Linked DNA regions of Elephas maximus indicus. The protein of the gene in region 1 purifies or fractionates together with the protein of each later gene. This does not show direct contact. Links are inferred from orthologs where the notes say so. Each region holds a gene or a part of one and is shown in the gene's direction. Other genes may lie near its edges.

The links. Proteins that work in one complex are often made in the same cells at the same time.
Region 2: the proteins of HDAC1 (region 1) and CCT2 purify together in Homo sapiens (affinity purification with mass spectrometry; 4 studies listed by BioGRID and IntAct, counting the BioPlex papers as one, with this or other methods). This does not show direct contact. The link is inferred for Elephas maximus indicus from reciprocal best matches to the Homo sapiens genes HDAC1 and CCT2.

Annotation. Positions count from the first base shown.
Region 1 is NC_064821.1:73,172,744-73,180,031, forward strand, and holds the start of HDAC1 (histone deacetylase 1), read left to right. Parts: upstream 1-3,941; 5' UTR 3,942-4,023; coding exon 4,024-4,072; intron 4,073-7,288. UniProt on the Homo sapiens protein: Histone deacetylase that catalyzes the deacetylation of lysine residues on the N-terminal part of the core histones (H2A, H2B, H3 and H4).
Region 2 is NC_064822.1:130,767,835-130,775,153, forward strand, and holds the start of CCT2 (T-complex protein 1 subunit beta), read left to right. Parts: upstream 1-4,211; 5' UTR 4,212-4,314; coding exon 4,315-4,317; intron 4,318-5,064; coding exon 5,065-5,139; intron 5,140-5,233; coding exon 5,234-5,299; intron 5,300-6,035; coding exon 6,036-6,147; intron 6,148-6,501; coding exon 6,502-6,578; intron 6,579-6,701; coding exon 6,702-6,814; intron 6,815-7,319. UniProt on the Homo sapiens protein: Component of the chaperonin-containing T-complex (TRiC), a molecular chaperone complex that assists the folding of actin, tubulin and other proteins upon ATP hydrolysis.

The DNA of each region.
Region 1 (7,288 bases):
TTCTTTCCCCTGGTGAGCAAGAACTCCTAGAGGGCTGGGACCTTGTCTGATACCTCTCTATGCTCCTCCTTGGTGCCTAGCACACATCAGGAGCTCAATAAATGTCTGTTTGTTGATGAATGTGGTACATGTCTCTGTTCCCCACTCCCATCTCCTCGTCCTTGGGGTGTGGAGTGGGGATTCAGAAGAGGGAAACTGGATCACCCTGAATTGGTTACACCCTGAGGGAACATCTGAACTTTTTTCCAGTCCTGGTGATGCTGGGGGCCAAGGGGACGTGCCTACACTTTGCTGTATGGGCTCTCCCAATCCCTTCAAATGGAACAGTACACCTCACCTCTACCCCCATGGATTCAGTTCAATCCCCACCTGGAATTGCCTCCAGTGCGTCATTGGATCCCCTCCCTCCCACTGTATAAGGGCAATTGCATTTTTTTACAGCCAGTAATTCAAGGGCTGCATCTGGCCTTGAATATGTTTTGATTTACCTTCAGGATGTTTTTAAAAATTGAATTAGTTAATTTATTTAACAAATATGTATTAACCGTCTACTGTTCTAGGCTCATAGGATATACAGTTGATAAAACTCACACGCAAATCTCTGCCTTTGTGAACTTACATTCTAGTAAGGGAAGACAGACAATAAACAATAAACATCATAAATAAATTATATCATATGCTACAAGGTGCTAGGGGAAAAACAGAGCAGAGCAAAGGGGATTAGGAATGCCATGTTTGGGGAAAAGTTTGCCATTTTAAAGAAGGTGGTCAGGGAAGGCCTCATTGAGAAGATGACATTTGAGCAAAGATTTGAAGGAGCTGAGGGAATAGTCTGAGGCAGGAGTTTGCCTGGCATGTTCAGAGCGGTAATGGTGGCCAGAGAGAGGGAATTAAATCCTAGGACCTCGGCCTTGTGCCCTTTGCAGGAGCCATTTTGAGAAGCCTTTGCAAAGATTTGTGCAGAGCTATGATATGATCTGACTTACATTTTAAAAAGGAGCCCTAGTGGTACAACGGTTAAAAGTGGGGCTGCTAGCCAAACGGTTGGTGGTTTCAACCCAAACACCTATTCTCTGGGAGAAAGTCCTGGCGATCTGCTTCCCTTAAGATTACAGCCTAGAAAACCCTATGGGGCAGTTCTACTCTGTTACATGGGGTCACTATGAGTCGGAATCTTGACTCAACAGCAACATCACATTTTAAAAGGATGTCTCTTACCACTGTATTGAGAACTGACTGCATTAACAGCCAATGTATAAAACTGGGGAGGTTTTGAATAAAACTTCAGATTTCTGCTTTCTTTTGAAAGATAGGAAGAGTTGACCGTTTTGGGCCCTCATGGAGCTAAGTAGCGGCTGCCCCGTTTAAGTGGGGTATGAGCTCTCCCTCCCTTTTGCTCTGAGACAATGAAATTGAGTGTTAATAAGTGTTTAACATCATTGTTCTTATAATAAACAGGAAAACTAATTTTTTTTGGTATCCACATCTCCATTAAAAAGTGAGAAAATTAAAGATACCCCAAGATGGCAGTGTGTTTAAAGAAAGGTAGGAGAAAGGCATATTTCTTTACAAAAATGAAAAATGGCCCAATTTTTAAAACATGCAAACAAAGAGCATCTCAGTAAAAAAAACATAAATTTCACTCATTTACATCACCTACCTGATCTCTGGTGGTACAAGGGTTAAGCACTCAGCTGCTAAGGTTGGGGGTTCGAATCCACCCAGCTGCTGTGCTGTAGAAAGACCTGGCAATCTGCTCCTGTAAACATTGCACTCTAGAAAACCCTAAGGTGCAGTTCTACTCTGTCACATGGGGTTGCTACGAGTAGAAATCAACTCAATGGCACCAAACAACAACATTTGAGCTCTGTAGACATCTGAGTTTGTGACCCCTGTTTATAAAGTGCTGCCACACCCATAATCTCATCTGATTCCCACCCTCCTCCTGTTTTGGACACTGTGTACCGCCACAGAGTTGGTGAACTTTGTATTCTTATCCTCCCCATTTTTCAACAGGAAAATGGAGGTCCAGTAAGGTTAAGTAAACCCACCCAAGAACAGCTAAGAAGTAGCAACGCAGACCCCGGAATAGAGTTTGTTCCCTAGTTCATTGTTATTTTTATAATAGAATGAAAGGTCCAGTCTTAGATCGCCTGTAACCTTTATAATTAATGGTTCAAACGCAGTTCCTAAGTGAGAACACATGTCCCCAAACACTCCTTGATCTGTAAAGAGGCATAAAAATGTATCCTATTGACTGTAATACTAAGGGTAAGCTACCTACTTAGTATAATGCTTGGTACATAGTAAGCGCTCATTAAATATTAATGTTGTTGTAGTCGTTATCTTCATAGCTCAGCACAGTGCTTTTCACTCTTTCAGTTTCAACAATGGCCAGTTGATGATGAATTGATCTAGTGCAGTCCTTCTCAAGGGGAGTATGGTGGGTGGTTTGAGCTTTCCCTGCCCCAGGGACATTTGGCAATGTCTGCAGACATTTTTAGTTGTCCTAACCGGGGGGTGGAGGATGTTACTGGCATCTAATGGGTAGAGGGCAGGGATGCTGCTAAATGTCCTACAATGCAATGCACAGGACAGCCCCCCAAAACTAAGAATTACCTGGCCCCAATACCTCCAAGGTTGAGAAACTCTAATCTAGGGAACAGGGCAATACAGGTTACTCCTGCCTAAAGCCAAAAAAACATTAGGGAGCCCTGGTGGCATAGTGGTTAAGAGCTCAGCTGTTAACCAGAACGTCAGCAGTTTGACTCCACCAGCCGCTCCTTGGAAACCCTACGGGGCAGTTCTACTCTGTCCTGTATGGTCGCTATGAGTCCGAACTGACTGAATGGCACCTAACAACAACAACAACAAAACCAAAAAAACAAACTAGTAGCCCTCAAGTGGATTCTGCTCCAGGGTGACCCCATGTGAAGATACTCCTTAATCCTCCCGGGCGATGCACCAGCGAGGTTTCTGCCGCTTTGTTACAAAGCCTCTGGCATACAGTGGGTAGTCAAAAATTCTGTAAAAGTGAAAATTAAATTTAACAATTAATCATGTGACTCAGCAGTTCACAGAGGTCTGAACTTCATTATCTTTATCTGTAAAATGGGGATGAAAAGCCCGCTTCCAAAACTATTATGAGGAATAACTGAGAAGAGTGTGGTAAAGCTATTGCACAGTACTTGGTCTCCAGCAAGCCCTTGACAGTTTGTCATTTTATTTCTCTCTCCTCTAAACTTGCGTCCTAATTCAGGTGCAGCCCCTTCCTTAGTAGGTGACCTTAGGCAAATCACTTTTCCTCTGTGTTGTTGTTAGGTGTCATAGAGTTGGTTCCAGCTCATAGCGACAGAAGGAAACACTGCCCGGTCCTGCGCTAACCTCACACTCCCTAACTTCACACTCGTTCTGTTTGAGCCCATTGTTGCAGTCACTGTGTCAATCCATCTCATTGAGGGTCTTCCTCTTTTTCTTGACCCTTTACTTTACCAAGCACGACGTCCTTCTCCAGGGACTGGGCCCTCCTGATAACATGTCCAAAGTACGTGAGACAAGTCTAGCCATCCTCGCTTCTAAGGAGCATTCTGGCTGTACTTCTTCTTTCCTCTATAGGCCTCATTTTATTCTCTGTAAAATTACAAAATTGGCCTCTGATCTCCAAGCACTCTTCCAACGACGAAATGGGACAGCGAAGTTTACAGATCTGTTTTCCTCCCCCGGGACTAATGGTACGGTCCCCGGGCAGTTTCCCCCACCCCCTGTCGCGACCTTGGTACAGGCCCAGGGGGCCCTCGGCTGCCTCTCAGGGCTGCCCTTGCCCCCTGCCGAGTTCCGGGCCCGTCCCTGCTCAAGCTGATTGGCTGGAGAGGTGCCCGGGCTGCGCGGCTATAGGTGAGCCCGGGAGGGGACGGGCGGAGCGGGCTGGAGGCCCGCCCTCTCCCCCCTGGGTCGGACGCTGCGCGGAGCCGCGGGCGGGAGGGCAGACGGACCGACTGACGGGAGGGACGGGAGGCGAGCAAGATGGCGCAGACTCAGGGCACCAAGAGGAAAGTCTGTTACTACTACGACGGTGAGCACTGTCCTCGCGGCGGGGGCGGGGCCTGGGCCGGGCCGAACCCGGGAGAAGGAGGCTTAGGTCGAGGAGCTCTGAGAGAAGGCTGAGGCGTTGAGGAGAGGCTGAGTGAGGAGGTTGAGACGAATGAGGTCGCGACTGAGGGAGGAGGCTGAAGGAGCCAGGAAAAGGTGGAGGCTGAGAGAGGAGGCAGATAAAGGAAGGAGGATGAGGCTGAGGAGAAGAGGAGGTCGAGGCTGAAGGAGGAGACTGAGAGGAAGGCGGGTAAAACTGAGGGAGGAAGCTGAGAGGGGAAAGGAGGTCGAGGCAGAGGGAGGAGGCTGAGGCCAGAGGGAGTTGTTTGGGCGAGGACTGAGGTAGTCTTGGGAGGATTCTGAAGAAGTCTGATGTAGAGTTTGGGTTTGGGTGGTACTTTTAGAGGGGAGGCTGAGTCTGAGGGGGGAGGTAGTCTGATGGAGAAGGTTGAAAGGACATATATTCCTGCTGAGAATACACAGGTCTTTCCCTGTCCCTTATTCATCCTTTTCAGTGAGAGTCCTGAGAGAATCGCCAACTAGTGGTCACCAGCTTCCTCTCTCCCCAGTCTCTGAACAGGGCTTGCAATTGCTGCTGGGAGTTGGGGCCCCCGGGGTTGGAAGGAGAAGGATGCAACCTGTTAAAACGAACTTTTTCTTTTAACAAAAATGTGTCAATGACTTACTCTCTACTAGGTAGCGTTTAGGTCCTGGCGCCATGGGGATGATCAAGTCACACTTCCCATCTTCAGCTCACAATCTAGAGGGAAGGATAGACAATGACAGAGAATTACTCTCCAGTATTACTGTTGGGATAAAGGAAAACTCAGAGTTGAGCAGAAAAGAGACATCCAACCCAGCCTGGGGAGTCAGGGAAGGAGGTGCTGTCTCAGAACCTGAAGAACAGGAGTTAGCCAAGCACAGGGAAAGCAAAGATTACAGCAAGTTTAGGGTCTAGAGAGGACCCCCCCCCCAAAAAAAAAACCATTGGCATTGAGTTGATTCCAACTCATAGTGACCCTCTAGGACAGAGTAGAACTGCCCCACAGGGTTTCCAAGGCTGTAATCTTTATGGAAGCAGACTGCCACATGTCTCTGCCGTGGAGCAGCTGGTGAGTTTGCACTGCTGACCTTTCAGTTAGCAGCTGAGCACTTCACCACTGTGCCACCAGGACTCCTTAGAGAGAGGACAGCACCTTTGAAAATAACAGATATATGTATATAAGGCTGAGGCATAGAGTTGGGGGCAGAATGTAGAAGGTAGGGAGCAGGAATGGGGGAAGGGTTGCAAGTGAGGAGGCTGGGGGAGTAAATGGGGATCAGATCACGAGGGGCCAGGCATGCTATCCCAAGGAAGTTAGACTTAAATCTGAGGGCATTTGTGAGCGATTGAAGTTTTATTCATTGAAATTCTATCAGATTTATGCCTTAGAAATATCGCTCTGGGGCATAAATTAAATTTATGAATGTAGGGGCTTGGTAGGAGAAAGACCTCGTGAACTGTTTCTGTAAAGATTACAGTCAAGGAAACCCTATGTTCAGCTCTGTCCCATGGGGTCGCTGTGAGTTGAAATTGATTTGATAGCACCTCACAGCAACAACAACAACAACAGGGATGAGGAAGAAAACAAGGATCCCAAATTTCTAGCTTGTGCAACCTGATGGTGGGTGTGGGAGAAGGCCATGTCAGTTGATACTTTTTTTTTTTTAGCAACATCTGTTAAGATACCTGGAGACATCCAAAGAGGGATGTCTAGTAGGCAGTTGACCATTTTAATCTGCAGTTTAGAAGAGAGGGATGATAAGATAGTTTATTTAGTTGTCAGCATACATAGATGGTAATTTTGCTCATGGGAGAGAATGAAGTCACCCAAGAAGTTGTATAGGGTGAAAAGAGGATCCAGGGTGGAATTCAGAGGAAAAGGAATATTTGGGAAGTCTAATGCCCCTCATGCTCTGTACTTCTCTGTCATAGTCCTTGTCACGGTGTACTGAAATTGCCCGTTAACTTGTTCATATTTCTTACGGACAGTAAGCCTTTTAAGGAAAGGGGTTATGCCTTGCCTACCTCTGTATCCCCAACCCCCTAGTTGTGAAGGCTCTCATATAATATATTAAAACAAACAAGCAGCATGTAGCTTATAGTAGGCTTTCAATAAATATTTGTTGCATAAATTAATAAAGACACAGAGGGAGTGACCAGGGAGGTACGTGAACCAGGAAGTGCTGGGTTACAGAAACGAAAGGAGAGAGGGAGTAGTCAGTTGTTGGCAAGAACTGTTTCTGGGCAGGGGCTAGGGCAGAAGCTAGATTGTAGTAAATTGAGGAGTGAATGGATGTGTGAAGAGGAGACATCAAGTTAAATCCTTTTTAAGGATTTTTAAATCCTTTTTAAGGGAGCAAGGAGAGACAGTTGTTGATAAAGGGGAGTTGTAGTGGCTGGGAGTTGAGCGTGTTCAAATTCTAAAACAAGCCAGGCGGTAGGGAGAGGTTTAAGATATAGGAGAGAAAGGCTGGTGGCTAGTGGTGATGGAGGTTCCTGATGAGATCAGGTAAGATGGAAACGGGAGCCTTCAAGAGGAAGTTCCTTTGTGACAAGAGGGTGAGGGGCAAGGAAAAGTTTAAACGTAGGTAAATTTAAAGAGGAGAAGGTAGGGAAAATGTTGAGAGCGTTCTTAGATGAAGAGAATATTCTCTTTCCTGAGAGTGAGGGAGGACAGCTGCTGGAGTAGGAATCTTGAAGAGAGAGATTAGCTGTCGTGAAAGAGGGAGTTAGGGAAATAAATCTAGATCACTGTGCAGTGGTGAGGCCCTCTTGAGGCTGGAGCTATTTCCGTTTGTAGGATTTTATGATCTCAATACTCTTGATTCAAAAGAAGAGAAAGTAGAAAGATTGCAGTCTTTGGAGAAAGGATCAGACTTGTTACTTCTTGAAAAATTGTGAGTTTTGCAGTCAGGGTACTAGCTTGGGACACAGATTTGGCTCTGCCACTCAGAAGCTTTGCAAGTCACTTAATCCATCAGAGCCTTAGGTCACTCTCTTGTAAAACTGAAAGAATAGCAGTTTCTGTTATAATAGTTAAAGGAAAGCTCTTTAAAAGTTTAATATAGTATCGAAATAAAAAGGATTATTTCCTGCTGTTTTTCCCCTATAAAGTCTCTCAGCATCTGATCAGAACCATAAAAGGGTAGGGTTCCA
Region 2 (7,319 bases), on another chromosome or scaffold:
TCAGCTTGAACTTGCATATGAGCAATTGATGGTCTGTTCCACAGTTGGCCCCTGGCCTCGTTCTGACTGATGATATTGAGCTTTTGCATCATCTCTTTCCACAGATGTAGTCAATTTGATTTCTGTGTGTTCCATCTGGTGAGGTCCATGTGTATAGTCACCATTTATGTTGGTGAAAGAAGGTATTTGCAATGAAGAAGTCATTGGTCTTGCAAAATTCTATCATTCAATCTCTTGTATTGTTTCTATCACCAAGGCCATATTTTCCAACTACTGATCCTTCTTGTTTCCAACTTTCACATTCCAATCGCCAGTAATCATCAATGCATCTTGGTTGCATGTTTGATCAATTTCAGACTGCAGCAGGTGATAAAAATCTTCCATTTCTTCATCTTTGGCCCTAGTGGTTGGTGCTTAAATTTGAATAATAGTCGTATTAACTGGTCTTCTTTGTAGGCGTATGGATGTTATCCTATCACTAACAGCGTTGTACTTCAGGATAGATCTTGAAACGTTCTTTTTGTTGACAAATGCAACACCATTCCTCTTCAAGTTGTTGTTCCCAGCACGGTAGACTATACGATTGTCCAATTCAAAATGGCCAATAACCAGTCCATTTCAGCTCACTAATGCCTAGGATATCGATGTTTATGCATTCCATTTTTGATGATTTTCGATTTTCCTAGATTGATACTTTGTACATTCCAGGTTCCGATTATTAATGGATGTTTGCAGCTGTTTCTTCTCATTTTGAGTCATGCCACATCAGCGAATGAAGGTCTCGAAAGCTTTACTCCATCCACGTCATTAAGGTCAACTCTACTTTGAGGAGGCAGCTCTTCCCCAGTCATCTTTTGAGTGCCTTTCAACCTGGGGGGCTCATCTTCCAGCACTATATCAGACCATGTTCCACAGCTATTCATAAGTTTTTCACTGGCTAATGCTTTTCAGAAGTAGACTGCTGGGTCCTTCTTCCTAGTCTGTCTTAGTCTGGAAGCTCAGCTGAAACCTGTCCTCTATGGGTGACCCTGCTGGTATCTGAACACTGGCGGCATAGCTTCCAGCATCACAGCAATACGCAAACCCCCACAGTACGGCAAACTGACAGACATGTGGGGGATGGATTGAATTATGTCCCCCCAAAATGTGTGTATTAACTTGGTTTGGCCATGATTCCCAGTACTGTGTGGTTGTCCTCCAATTTGTGATTGTAATATTATGTCGAGAGGATTAGGGTGGGAGTGCAACACCACCCTTACTTAGGTCACCTCCCTGATGCAGTGTAAAGGTAGTTTTCCTGGGGTGTGGCCTGCACCACCTTTTATGTCTTGAGAGATAAAAGGAAAGAGAAGCAAGCAGAGAGTTGGGGACCTCATAACACCAAGACGGCAGTGCTGGGAGCAGAGTGCGTCCTTTGGACCCGGGGTCCCTGTGGGCAGAAGCTCCTGGTCTGGGGGAACAGTGATGAGAAGGCAACAGAAAGAGAAAGCCTTCCCCTGGAGCTGACCCGCTGAATTTGGACTTTTAGCTTACTTTACTGTGAAAAAATAAACTTCTCTTTGTTAAAGTCATCCACTTGTGGTATTTCTGTTACAGCAGGACTAGATAACTAAGACACTGTACATAGAAAAAGAGGCAATCGTTCGTACAAAATAAAGACTAACCCAGAACTGAAAACATTCCTGAAGCCCACTTTTCACAAAAAGATTAGACAGGCCTATAAAACAAAAAATAACACACGTGATGAATGTGCTTCTTAGTTCAATCAAATATAGGAGACCAATGGGGAGCTCCTATCCAAAAGCAGGATGAGAAGGCAGGAAGAGACAGGAGCTGGACTAATGGACACAGGAAACCCGGGGTGAAAAGGGGGAGCATGCTGTCACATTGTGGGGATTGCAACCAACTTCATGAAATAATACATGCATACATTTTTGAATGAGTAAAAAAAAAGGGGGGGGAATACAGTGTAGTTTAAAATCAGGAAAGGTGTGCATCAGGGTTGTATCCTTTCACCATACTTATTCAATCTGTATGCTGAAAAAATAATACGAGAAGCTGGACTATATTAAGAAGAACTTGGCATAAGGATTGGAGGGAGATTCATTAACAACCTGTGATGTGCAGATGACACAACCTTGCTTGCTGCAAGCAAAGAGGATTTGAAGCACTTATTGACGAAGATCGAAGACTACCGCCTTCAGTATGGATTGCACCTCAACATAAAGAAAACAAAAATCCTCACAACTGGACCAATAAATAACATCATGATAAATGGAGAAAAGATTGAGGTTGCCAAAAATTTCATTTTACTTGGATCCACAATCAACACCCATGGAAGCAGCAGTCAAGAAATCAAACAACTCATTGCAATGGGCACTGCTGCAAAAGATCTATTTAAAGTGTTAAAAAAGCAAAGATGTCAGTTTAAGGACTAAGGTGTGCCTAACCCAAGCCATGGTATTTTCATTTGCCTCATATGCACGTGGAAGCTGAGCCAACGAATAAGGAAGACCAGGGAATTGATGCCTTTGAATTATGGTGTTGGTGAAGACTATTGAATACACCATGGATTGCCAAAAAAATGAACAAATCCGTCTTGGAAGAAGCAAGGGTGGCAAGAGTACATCTCACATACTTTGGACATGTTATCAGGAGGAAGCAATCCCTGGAGAAAGACATTATGCTTGGTAAAGTAGACGGTAACCGAAAAAGAGGAAGACCCTCAACGAGATGGATTGACACAGTGGCTAAAACAATGGGCTGAAGCATAACAATTGTGAGGATGGCACAGGAATGGGCAGTGCTTCCTTCTGTTGCATATAGGGTCACTATGAGCTGAAACCCACTCGATGGCACCTAACAACAAGAACAACATTATGAAAGCAGTCAAAGACAGTACAGTAATGAATGGGTATGCCTATGTTTCAATAAATGTTTATTTATGAACACTGAAATTTGAATTTCATATAAACTTCATGTGTCATGCCATTTTATTGTTTTTCAACCATTTAAAAAAGTTAAAAAACCATTCTTAGCTCTCAGGTCACACAAAACTAGGCCACAGGCTGGATTTGGTTCCCCCATAGTTTGCCAATCCTTTTTTTTAGTGTAAACTACCCCACTTAGTGTATATCTGAAGGGTAGAACACTTGTAAATTTAATGTTAGCAGTTGTAAAAAATACAGGAGCTTGCTAAGTAATCAGTTAGCCAAAGAAAGAAAAGTGGGTATCAGTGAATGATACAAAACCAATGGACTTTTTTAATACACAAAAAACTGGCTTTAGATGTCCTGGAGGGTGGGAAAGTAGAAAACTGTTTGTAATACCGTGGAATATTCGGCATTGATCTTCATCTCTGCCAAGATGTTTTTGTTGTTGTGTGCCCTCCAGTCGATTCCAACTTACAGCGACCCTATAGGACAGAGTAGAACTGGCCCTTAGGGTTTGCTAGGCTGTAAAGCTTTATGGGCGGACCTACCAGCGGCTCCGTGGGAGAAAAAGACAAAGTCATTATGTAAGAGTGTACTAGTCATCTCCACTAGTGGAAGACACAATAAAAGCAAAATACAAAGCCTATTGAAAAGGAGCGAACAGGCCAAAGATAAACGTTCCCATTAGAGTTCACAAAACCTTGCCCTGCTGTGCAGTCAACGTCCAATCAGAAACAGTTCTAAAATTCAGTAAAAGGAAAGCAAGTCGGCCTCCGTTATGCTCAATAAATAAATGCTTAAAATTAAAAAAGCAATAAAAAATATTTAGGAATATGACGGCAAATAATCTCACACACATGCTAAAAAAACTTAAAGTGTGCTTGCCTCTGGGGAGAGGAAGTGATGAGGCAGGGAAATTATATTTTTTATTACTACTATATATTTTTTTTCATATGACGATTTAAACTGCGTATGTGTTATTTGCAAAATTTTAAAAGTTAAATTTAAGGAAAAGTTTAAAACATGAGCCAGAACTCGGTTGCTATAGCAACCCGGCAGCGCGGCGTCTGTTTTTCAAAGACTTTTTTTTTTTTTTAGTTCTAATCCGCCCAGCCTCAAGCAAAATTTCAGACTCCTCCCTTTCCTCCTCCCTACTGAGCGGGTCCAATATGACAGGCTGCGTTTACCGCCCTCCAGGCTTCTCTCAAAGTGTCAACCCCTCCCTTCCTCCGCAGGCGGTGGCACCAAGCAGGAACGGAGCTCAGGCCGAGGCCCCGCCCCCTGCGATAGAGCGTGTGGCGTCACTTCCGCCTCCCTCTTCACTCCTGGTTACCCGGGCGAGCGGTAAGGGATTAGCGTGTGGGCCGACCTCCTTGGAACCATGGTGAGCCTGCTCCCCCCAGCCCTGGTCCCCCAGCCCGTGCTTTGCCGTGTCCCGCTGTGCGCTGCCGCCCTTCTGCCTTCTCCGTCCCTCCTAGGCCACGGGCTCCCTGTGTCTGCCACGACACCGCCGCACATGGCGACGGCGCTTGCGTGTGGCCTGCCCGAGGCCTGCTGGTGGGAGCCCTTCATGCCAGCCAGGGGGAGGAGTGGGTCTCAAGGCCATTGTCTTACACCAGCTCGTCCTCTCCACGGTCCCAGCACCTCGAAGCCGGGGTCTCACCGGGACCCACCGGCCGCAGAGGAATTTTTAGAGCCCGGGGCCACGAGGCCGACCCCGCCCGCCCTCGGGGAGGAGCCTGGAGCGGGCGGGGAAGGCGCGCCCGAGAGTCGAAGATGGAGGCCGCCGCTTCCCATCGCCTACCTGGCGTCGCCCCGCGGGTGGTCTGTAATCCTGCCTTCTTCATCCATAGTTTAAAATCTTCAGTCTTGCCATACTTATCAAACAATCGCTTCAGTGTGTGGTTTTTATTCCTGGCGCCTACATAGATCTTAAAAGCCGCTTTCCTCGCAATTTACGTAAATCTCCCTTCCACTTAAATATATGACTGCACGGATGATGGAAAGCTTCATTTGAAAAAGTATCCTATAAATTACTTTTCTCTTGAATACTCGAGTATAGCGGAAGGCCTTTAAGTATATATGTTAAAGAGTACATATTCAAAGTATGTATTTTGATTGCCCGTTTTAGGCGTCCCTTTCTCTTGCTCCTGTTAACATCTTCAAGGCTGGAGCTGATGAAGAGAGAGCAGAGACAGCTCGTCTGGTGAGCCTTGTTCTCTCCTTTCTCTTGAGGATGAAATTATAACTTGCACGTTAAAATTGTCTAATTCTGATAATCTGTTTGGTTTTCGATCCAGTCTTCTTTTATCGGTGCCATTGCTATTGGAGACTTGGTAAAGAGCACTTTGGGACCCAAAGGCATGGTAAGAAGAACAACGTATTTGTAGGTTTTAGTATTGTTTTAGAGCTATTAATGGAAATACAGTTAGTAACACTTTTTTTGATGTTTTTTAATCTTTAAAAAGTTTTACACAAGTAATATGTGACTATTCTCCTTACTAAAAATCAGAACAATACTCATAAGTTCCTGTGATTAACACTTACTTTGGTGTTTATCTTCTGGATGTATTTCTGTTCACTTATGTAGATGTATGTATATATATTTACTTAAGTATTTTTTCGTGTAACAGATAATATTTTGTTTTATGCAAATCCAGCCAAACCAAACCTGTTGCTTTCGAGTCAGCTCTGACTCAGAGACCCTATAGGACAGAATAGAACTGCCCCATAGGATTTCCAAGGAGTGGCTGGTGGATTTGACCTTTTGGTTAGCAGCTGAGCTTTTAACCACTGTGCCACCAGGGCTCCTTGTTTTATACAGATAGTATTTATATGTATTTTTTTTATGTAGCTTGTTTCTTAAATTCTTGGCGGTGTAGATAGTTTTTTATAGTTTATTCAACTGTGGCTATATTGATGGACACAACTTTGTTTCCATTGTTTTGATTATTAGGGTGCTGAAACAAACCTCATTGTTCGTGTCTCCCTGTGCTTCTAGTCTTTCTAGGGGCAGATACCAGGGCTTGATTGTGGGGTGTATGAGAGTACTGATTGACCCACTCGTTCTTCAAGATGTGCTTATATCTTATGTTCCTTTAGGATAAGATTCTTTTAAGCAGCGGACGAGACGCCTCCCTTATGGTAACCAATGATGGTGCAACTATTCTAAAAAACATCGGTGTTGACAACCCAGCAGCTAAAGTTTTAGTTGGTGAGTCTGAAGATTTATTTAAGGAGGAGGGAGTGACTTGTAAAAAGCTGTTTTGTTAACATTATGAAATACTTACTTTTTAATAGTCAGTGTTAAGTAATTGTACTTTTAATTAATTTCTGTCTACCACTTTGTAATTGATTATTGTTATTAAAATGCAAGCTTCTGGAGTGCCAAGTGATTATCGATGGTAAAACTTGCATTTCTACCTAAAAGTTCCAGAGAATTTGTCAGGTAGAGAAATCTAGGTATGCAAGGTTTGGATTGGTAGTGGGTATGTTTTGAGAATTAAACTACCTTAAAGTAGTTTAAAAAGCAGAATCAGGTATAAATTGATAACTAATTTTATTCTAGATATGTCAAGGGTTCAAGATGATGAAGTTGGCGATGGAACTACCTCTGTTACTGTTTTAGCAGCAGAATTATTAAGGGTGAGAAAATATCTGAGCAACTCTTACCTCGTTTTATTTTTTGTTTTGTGGTTTTGAATATCAGCAGTAATCAAATCCTTCTTGTAGCTCTTATTGATAATGCTTTTCACTGTTTATTAATAGGAAGCAGAAACTTTAATTGCAAAAAAGATTCACCCACAGACCATCATTGCGGGTTGGAGAGAAGCCACAAAGGCAGCAAGAGAGGCTCTGTTGAGTTCTGCAGTTGATCATGGGTTGGTATACCAAAATGTTACTATTCTACTATTTTAAGAATTCAGCATTCTTTTTGTAACATGTGTAATGCAGGAAATTAGAGAGCATTGAAAAGCATATGAAGACATGACCCTGCTGCCTTTCCATACCCTCAAACAAAAAACCCACATTCTCCGGAGGTAGACTCTTAAGTTAAAGTTTGGGCTTCCAGTCTTGCATATATAATCAAAACAAACAGGCAAACAAAAACGAATAGCATCATTGTGTAGAGGGTTTTTAGCCTCATTTTAACCTAGTTGATTAACAAGTACATTTCTAGGTATCAGTATTTTCTGCAACATTAGTTTTAATAGAATTGGGAATTTGATTATGTTTACTTACCCTGTCTACAGTGGGAGATGTGTGTTTTTGCCAAATTTTAGCTTTATAATGTTGTGATGAATTTGTTACCAAAAAAAATCTTCTAGAGGTATTATTTCTGGGTCCAAAGGTATGTATGTATTTTAAAGTCATTTTTATTTATCA